2 linked regions of the Mus musculus genome follow. The protein of the gene in region 2 purifies or fractionates together with the protein of the main gene of each other region. This does not show direct contact. Links are inferred from orthologs where the notes say so. Each region holds a gene or a part of one and is shown on either strand. Other genes may lie near its edges.

Region 1 (4,516 bases), on a different chromosome or scaffold from region 2:
ACAGAGGTTTCACTGTAACATACAACAGAAGATTCACTGTAACATACAACAGAAGATTCACTGTAACATACATACAACAGAGGATTCACTGTAACACACATACAACAGAGGATTCACTGTAACACACAACAGAAGATTCACTGTAACACACAACAGAGGATTCACTAACAGACAACAGAGGATTCTCTGTAACACAACAGAGGATTCACTGTAACACACAACAGAGGATTCAATGTAACATACATACAACAGAGGATTCACTGTAACATACAACAGAGGATTCACTGTAACATACATACAACAACAGAGGGTTCACTGTAACACACAACAGAGGGCTCATTGCTCTGAAGCTTGTGCAAACTCCCTCCCCACAACAGTGGTCCTCCAGAGACTGAGTCAGGACTCATTCCCCAGCTCCCTCAAGCGCCCACCATCCAATCAAGCAGTAGGACTTCACACCTGACACTGAGGCAGGAAATGACCTCATGGCCACAGGATCTGGTCCGAAGAGGCAAGAAGGTGGAACTGTCCCAGGCTGTGAGGTAGCAGGGTGGGGGCTGACGTAGGCGCTTGTGGGGTATCTGCACTGTGAAGAGTCGCAGCCCACCGAGCTGATCTGGAACCTGCCCAAACCTGGAGGCCAGGCAAAAGGCTTTCAGTTCCTGTCAGCCCTCATGTTTGTGCCCTGCACCCTGGTCACACCTGGAACAACCTCCAACAAGGCTCCAGCCATGGCCAGCTCCTTCTGTCTTTTCCCATTTCCCAGCTGAGGTGTGCCTGCCAGCCACCCTGTGACCTGCACACCTGCAGGCCTGGTAGCGGTATGGTGTATTAGAAGAGGCTGGTCCATTCTCTTGCCACTGTAGCTGTGTCACCAGTTGATCCTTCTGCCACACAGAGGCCTTAAAGTCCCAGCCCACTGTAACCAGCTGGGGAGGAGTAAAGATCCCAAAGATGGACAGTTAGGACATCTATGTACTGTGCAAGGCACACAATAGGCTCTGCCTTTCTGCACCAGCATCCCACATCTCCACCTCCTTACCTTGCCATCAGGACCCAAAGTCAAATCTCCAATCTCCCCTTCATGGGCTTTGAACTCCAGAACTTTCTCCAGGCTAGGTACCTACAGCCAAGACAGTTACAGACCAGACAGCGAGAACGCTGAAATCCCCATCCCTCTTACCCCAATGGCCACTCAAGTTTCACAGAATGCATATTCAGATTCTCACAATTTTGGTGTTATTGCAACTAACACTCACCCACCCCCCCAAGCCCCTAAAACCACACCTTCCAGACACGAACATGACCATCAGTTCCTCCAGTGGCAAGCAGGGTGTTATCATGGTTGAAGCACACAACTTTCTGCAGCGGTTCATTGCTGAAGTCTGTCTGTACTGCCTCCAAATTCTTTACTTTGAGTTCAACCCCTTCGGGGTGAACTTGTGCTCCCGATTTCTTCTCTGCTGGAGGAGCCCCCTTTCTCTGTCGAGGTCCCTGCTCCTTGGAACCTGCAACACAAACAATTTGCCAGGAACCAGATTCCTTTGTTGTTGTTTTTTAAGACAGGGATTTGCTAGGCACCCCAGGCTAGCCTTAAATATCCTCTTGCCTCCACTCCTAAGCTCTGAGACTACAGCTGTGCACCACCTCCCTCAGATGGACCTGAGCATCTGTATTAACTAACACCAGTCCTCTAGTGACCCAAGTACAGACTTCAATGTGACCACTGCCCCACACCTAATCTCTCGTTTTTGGAGACCAAGAATTAGAGCGACTTTTTCCAAAGCTCTTCACCTGACTTCTCCGCTTTACTGCCCTTCTGTTGATGGACCTGGAAACGAAGAAGCTGACACTGGGCATCCTGTCCGGCAGCAAGAATGTCACCAGCAAGCGCCAAATTCATGGTGGCCCGTGTCTCCGTGTCATGAGAGTGCAGCAAGGAAGCGCTCAGGCACCCGTTGATCAGCTCTAGCTGCAGAAAATGCTGTGAGGGAACCAAAGTGGGCAAAGGTCAGGCCAGCCCGGAAGTCACATTAAATCCTAGTCTCTCTCAGTTGTACTTTTGCTTCCCGCACCTCCAGCTCTTATTTTTTGTTTTTTTTTGTTTTTTTGTTTCTTTGGTTGTTGTTGCTGTTGCTTAGAGCTGTATTCTCTTACTGGAGCTTCTTAATTCATACAGCAAGCAGGGTTTAGATTACTAGGTCCAGTTTACAGAAAGAAAAGAATTCCGTCTCCAGCTGCTTGAAGATGGACAAGACAATGTGCCTTCCTGGAAAAGGCCAGCGTATGAGCCCTGGACCAGCTCTCGTAATCCGGCGTGGACAGTCCTGGATTCGCAGACCTGCACAGCTTTCAGTCTAATTTTGGCTGTCTCAACCACTCTGCTCAGGTGAAACCAGCACCCGAACGGCAATCCTGGGTGCTCCCGCTAGAAATGGGTAGGGACTAAATCAGGGGTACTGCTCACCTCTGCATCCCCCGGCCACCCTGGAATCTCCCTGGGCCACGGTATAACCTGTTCTCAGTGGCCCTGCGTTCTCACCACGCCATTCTTTATGCCGGTCTTGGCAGCTCCTCCTCCGCCCGCAGCGATGAGCAGCCCAGTCTTGGGGTCTATCCGAAGCGCGTACAACGGGAACGGGGCCCGGTACAGCTCCACACCCCGGCGCCGACCCATCCCGCCCGCACGTTCACCGCCAACCCCGCGGAACCCACGACATGCCGCGCCTCGCCTCCGAAAGCTCAGGAACTTGGCGCTAGAGTTTTCCGGAAGACTGCCGACCCCTCTCAGCACTGGACTTGCCACCACTCAAACCACCGCAAGCAGCCGATCTGCGCCCGCGCGGCCGACTGGGTCTTGCAGGCGTTCAGTGCGCACGCGCCGAGCTCCTGGGCTCTCTCTGCGCAAGCGCAAGACGCCAATCCGCGTCAGCACTAGCGGGACGCGCTGTCACGGAACCCTGGCGTCGGATCCGGGTCCTAGCCCCGAATGACGATGAAGCTGCCATCTTTGTGTGGGGCGTGGGAGGTGGGGCTAGAAGAGATTACTGAAGATCAGTAAATCGAATTAAAAAGTTCTCGGACTGGGACAGTCCCCACTTCAGGAGAGATACACAGCAGACTCGTACAAGCCGGGCCTTTGTGTGTTACTCCAGGGAGGAAATGGGTTCTCCCGGGTTGTGTGGAGGACAGACACTCCAAAACAGATTCACTGCTTCCTAATATCCTAATATGAAGAAATCAGTCCCCACTTTGAGAGCATCCTCCGCGGTTGATTGGACTCTTTCTTATGGCTTGACATCCACTTCTGGAACATCGAACTCATGGGACTGGCAAGACTTGAGACTAGGCACAAAAACCCACAAAATCCCAGATAAACCGGGCTATTTGGTTACCCTACTATTTAAGTGTTTTTGGAACATGTTCACATTATAGAGATGTAAGGACCATTATTTGAATATGGTTTATATTTTAGTATTTGATGTCTTTTGCGATTCATAATGAGCCCCAGTCAACCATACATGAATTTATACTACCATGGTGTCTTTTGGACCCATATGCAGCTGAACAAACCACGTGATTAGAAGAAGCCAATTTTAGGCCCATTTACTAGCCTTCAGGGAGGAGAGAGGAACTTGACACTGAATTCAGTCACCAGTGGCCAGTATGTGCCCATATGATGAAATATTTGTTTTTAAAACAACCCTAGACAATAGGGATCAATGAGCTCCTGGGTTGGTGGTCTCATGTAGGTGCTGGATGGATGGATGGTGTGCCCAGAGAGGGCAAGGAAGTACTGCATTCTTCACCCTTTATCCTCCATGTACCTTGCCCTACACATCTCTTCCCTTCTGCTAATTCTGAGTTCTATTCTTTATGCTAGAAGAGAAATCCTAAGGAAGATGGAAGTGAGCTCTGTGTGCTGTTCTGACAACTTACCAGACTGACAGAGGAAGTCACAGGGACTTCTGCTTCCCAGCCTGTTATTTAGAAGTACAGATAGATGGTCAGGACTCAAAGCTGGAGACACTGGAAACGATCCTTTAGGATCAGTCCCTTTGATTTATGGGATCTATCCAGTGTGAACACCTGTGGGTGGGTGGTGTTAGAAATTTCGTTCCATTGTTGGACAGATACCTAGTTGGTGTCTTAGAATTGGAGATGTGTCTGAAAACACTCCATATTTGGTTTCAGAGATGTCCTAAGAAGCAGAACTTCTCACTGTGTGAATGAAAAATGACTAGGCAAACTCCAGTTCACACTGGCCGCTTCTCTTATTTTATGTCAGTTCCTGTTTGTAAAACACTGTTGAGCAAGTGAAAGGAAGGTCGCTAAGCACCTGGCAGCCAGGCTCTAATGCAGTTGTTTTGGTTTGATGGTCATTTCCTGTTGTAGATATTATCTACCACATACTCTTCCCACCCAAATTCCTCCAAGTCTAGGCAAGAACATCATGTGCTATTTCTTGTGAACATTCTACTGCAAATGGTTGTTGAGGGGATGGACAAACACTCTA
Region 2 (3,811 bases):
GGTAAGACGTAACGCTGTCAGGCCTCCTGTGTTTCTGGAGGGTCAGCTGCAGGCTCTTTTGAAGGCGGAATCAAGTCTGGGGGGAGCTCACTTCTACTTTCAGGATGTGGGGGTGGGGGGAAGAACCCAGCTCTGGGGGGAAGGTAAGGTGGAAAGCCCCTCGGTGCGTACACAGTTCTCCCTGTTCAAAGAGATTAGCAAAAGACATTGGAAGTTTAAACTGAGTACTGCACACTTGTTAACCTAGCAGCTCCAGGAGCTATTATGACATTCAAACACTCACGCCACAGTACTTGATCTCAAGAATTAATTTTGTCACTGAAAAAGGTACTTCATCAAAAACACAGGATTAATAAGAATATTACTAATTTCAGGTACGTTTGTCCTATCTTAGCAGCTACACAAGATTTTGATACACTCAAGACTTTAAGCTCTTGATATTCTACTAAAAATATTTCCTATAATACCAAGGACCACCTTAAAACTTCCCAAACAAAGTTCATCTTGATTCACCTTGAACTTGAAAACTAGTGATGAGAGTGACCTCACAGGACAACTAGGCTGGTTCTTGTCTAGGACTTAGGATTTACTGTGAAGAAACCTGGGTTCCAAATGGGAAAGTATGCTGTAAAAGCAATAAATTACTTTGATTTTAAAATGAAAGGGTATTAAGGAATTTCAGTAAGTTCAACAAATAACTAGAAATGAACATAGATTTTAAATAAATATGGTCACAGGAACTATTTATGAAAAAGTGTACAACATTTTAGTCAGTAATCTTAAAACTAAAATATAAGTAATAATTTAACTAATCACCACAATACATTTTTTTTGTTGTTGTTTTGTTTTTGTTTTTTGAGACAGGGTTTCTCTGTATAGCCCTGGCTGTCCTGGAACTCACTTTGTAGACCAGGCTGGCCTCGAACTCAGAAATCTTGCCTGTCTCTGCCTCCCAAGTGCTGGGACTAAAGGCGTGCACCACCACACCAGGCCACAATACATTTCTATCAAATGAATTACACATAATTTTAATCTTAAAACTGCTTGTAAATTGAGTGGTTTTCTGAACTATCACAATACAGTTAAAATGAAAACTTAGCTAAGGTGGATGGAGCCCTGGCTCCCTTTGATGCTGGACTGTAAGCTGTGAGCTATATAAACCCGTTCCTTCCCGCGAGGTGGTTCTGGATAGTGTATCACAGCAGCAGGGACCAAACTACAAGTAAAGCACAGATAAACTGTCATCTGCAGGGACTATTAAAAAAGCCTACCTGGGAACGGAGGAAGTGGTGGGCCAGGGAAGTCCCTTGGTGGAAAATAATCTCGAGGAGCTGCATAGATGCTTCCTGGAGGAGGTGGGGGGAAAGAGGGGCCCCTTCTCATGAACTGGCTCCTTGGATCCACTGGAAACAATGGGTCTCTGACTGGAGGAAAGGGTGGAGGGAAGAAGCCACGGCCAGCTGCTTCGCATTCAGCAGGGATAGGAGAATCAGGCACATTAGAGTTCTGGAACAGATGGACAAGCAGCAGTCAGTACAGTGGCTCGATTCACAGCTCCTTTCCTGAAGCCTTTAGGTGCCAATGCTGAACGTGGGCCACGGCACTCTAGAAAGCTGCACAACAGACTCCGTTTTCCATATCGGCATATGAGCTGCATGTTAACATGTATTAATAGTCTACCTAGCTCAAGTAAAACTCAAGTACAGTTCAAGCATATCAAAATGAACACTTAAAAAGATGAAAACACAGGCTGGAGAGGTGGCTCAGTTGTTAGGAGCACTGAGTGCTCTTCTAGAGGTCCTGAGTTCAATTCCCAGCAACCACATGGTGACTCACAGCCATCTGTAAAGAGATCGGATGCCCTCTTATGGTGTGTCTGAAGTCAGCTACAGTGTACTCATATACATAAATAAATCTTTTAAAAAAAAAAAAAGGATAAAAACACCGTTATCAAACACACATGTAAAAAGAAAATGTTGAGATACTGATATTTTGAAGATGAGGAGGGAAACAAAGGGGCGATCCGGTGTAGGGAGAACCAGCCAAGTGAACAGAAATTGGGGGTGCGGGGAGCATCTCTAGGACCCACTAGAGACCTGGGATAAAGGAGCTCCAGAGAGTCTATGTGGGTGACTCTAGCTGAGATTCTTAGCAGTGGGGGCCTGAAGTGACCAACTCCTGTAGTCAGGCAGGAACCCCAGTGGAGGGATAAGGACACCAACCCACCCACAAAACCTGACACAAAATGCGTCCTACCTATAAGAAGTGCATGGATAAACATGGAAAAAAGACTGAGGGAATGGCCAAACAATAACCCAACTTGAGACCCATCCCATGGGCAAGCACCAATCCCTGACATTATTAATGGTATCCTGTTATGCTTGCAGACAGGAACCTAGCATAACTGTCCTCTGAGAGGCTCCACTCAGCAGTGACCAAAACAAATGCAGAGTCTCACAGCCAAACATTAGACAGAGCTTGGGAAGTCTTGTGGAAGAGTTGGGGGAAGAATTGAGGGACCTAGAGGGGAAAGGGAATCCATAAGAAGACCAACAGAGTCAACTACCCTAGACCCGTGGGTGATCCCAGAAACTGAACCACCAACCAAAGAGCAGACAAGGGCTCGCCTTGGGCCTCCTCACACATGCAGATGTGCAGCTTGGTCTTCATGTGGGTCCCCCAAAACAGGAGTGGGAGCTTACCCTGACTCTCTTGCCTGCCTGTGGATCCTGTCCCCTCACTGAACTGTCTTGTCTGGTCTCAATGAGAGAGGATGTACCTGGTCCTGTAGTGACTTAAGGTACCAGTGTGGGTTGGTACCCAGTGGGGACCTCCACTTTCTTAGAGATGAAGGGGGGGGGGGCGGCTGCGTGTGGGGGAAGGGACTGGGAGAAGAGGGGGCCTGTGATCAGGATATAAAGTGAATAAACCAATGGGGAAAAAAGATACTGATATTTCCAAAATGACAAAAGTCAATATCATATTTTAAAACTAAAATATACTTTAAGATTCAAATAAGATTTCAAGGAAGAAATTCTAAGTGTGTTCAGCTAGTAAGTAAGGTGGCTTAAAAACCCATCTGAAAGTCATGTTTTGTTGTTTTTTAAACAGGGGAGCTGTAGGTTTCTTTTTTTTTTTTTTTTTTTTTTTTTTGGTTTTTCGAGACAGGGTTTCTCTGTGTAGTCCTGGCTGTCCTGGAACTCACTCTGTAGACCAGGCTGGCCTGGAACTCAGAAATCCGCCTGCCTCTGTCTCCCAAGTGCTGGGATTAAAGGCGTGCGCCACCACGCCCGGCATAGAGAATCTTTTTTTTTTTTTTTTAACGTTTCATTTACCATATGTGTATGGGTATTTTGCCTTCATGTATGTCAGCATACCATGCACAACCACGTACAATTCTTGGAGGATAACAATAGGACTTCTGATCCCCTGGGACTGGAGTTAAGCATGGTTGTGAGATACCAGGCAGTTGCTAGGAATCAAACCTAGGTCCTCTAGGAGAGCAGCCAGTGCTCTTAACCTGTAAGCCATTTCTCCAGTCCATGATCTGGCGTTTTCAAACAACATTGCCTTATGTAGTCCACACTGACTTTGACCTCATGATCCTCCTGCCTCAGCCTACCAACATGTCAGGATTACATGGCTTGTGATTTGTAATATTTTACCATAGGTAAAACAACAGCCAGAAAGGAAACAGTGTTAATCCTAAGTAGAAGTATGTTTTTATAACATATTGTTATGACAGGTAGAACAGTTCTAGCCTTATTCTAGCAAAACCAAGAAACTGGTTATGGGGCTGGAGAGATGGCTC

The links.
Region 1: the proteins of Mia2 (region 2) and Preb purify together in Homo sapiens (affinity purification with western blotting; 3 studies listed by BioGRID and IntAct, with this or other methods). This does not show direct contact. The link is inferred for Mus musculus from reciprocal best matches to the Homo sapiens genes MIA2 and PREB.

The regions. Positions count from the first base shown.
Region 1 is NC_000071.6:30,957,429-30,961,944, forward strand, and holds the start of Preb (prolactin regulatory element-binding protein), read right to left. Parts: upstream 2,900-4,516; 5' UTR 2,678-2,899; coding exon 2,543-2,677; intron 1,985-2,542; coding exon 1,795-1,984; intron 1,509-1,794; coding exon 1,288-1,508; intron 1,124-1,287; coding exon 1,043-1,123; intron 930-1,042; coding exon 805-929; intron 634-804; coding exon 460-633; intron 1-459.
Region 2 is NC_000078.6:59,186,006-59,189,816, reverse strand, and holds part of Mia2 (melanoma inhibitory activity protein 2 isoform 6 precursor), read right to left. Parts: intron 1,507-3,811; coding exon 1,272-1,506; intron 182-1,271; coding exon 18-181; 3' UTR 1-17. UniProt on the Homo sapiens protein: Plays a role in the transport of cargos that are too large to fit into COPII-coated vesicles and require specific mechanisms to be incorporated into membrane-bound carriers and exported from the endoplasmic reticulum.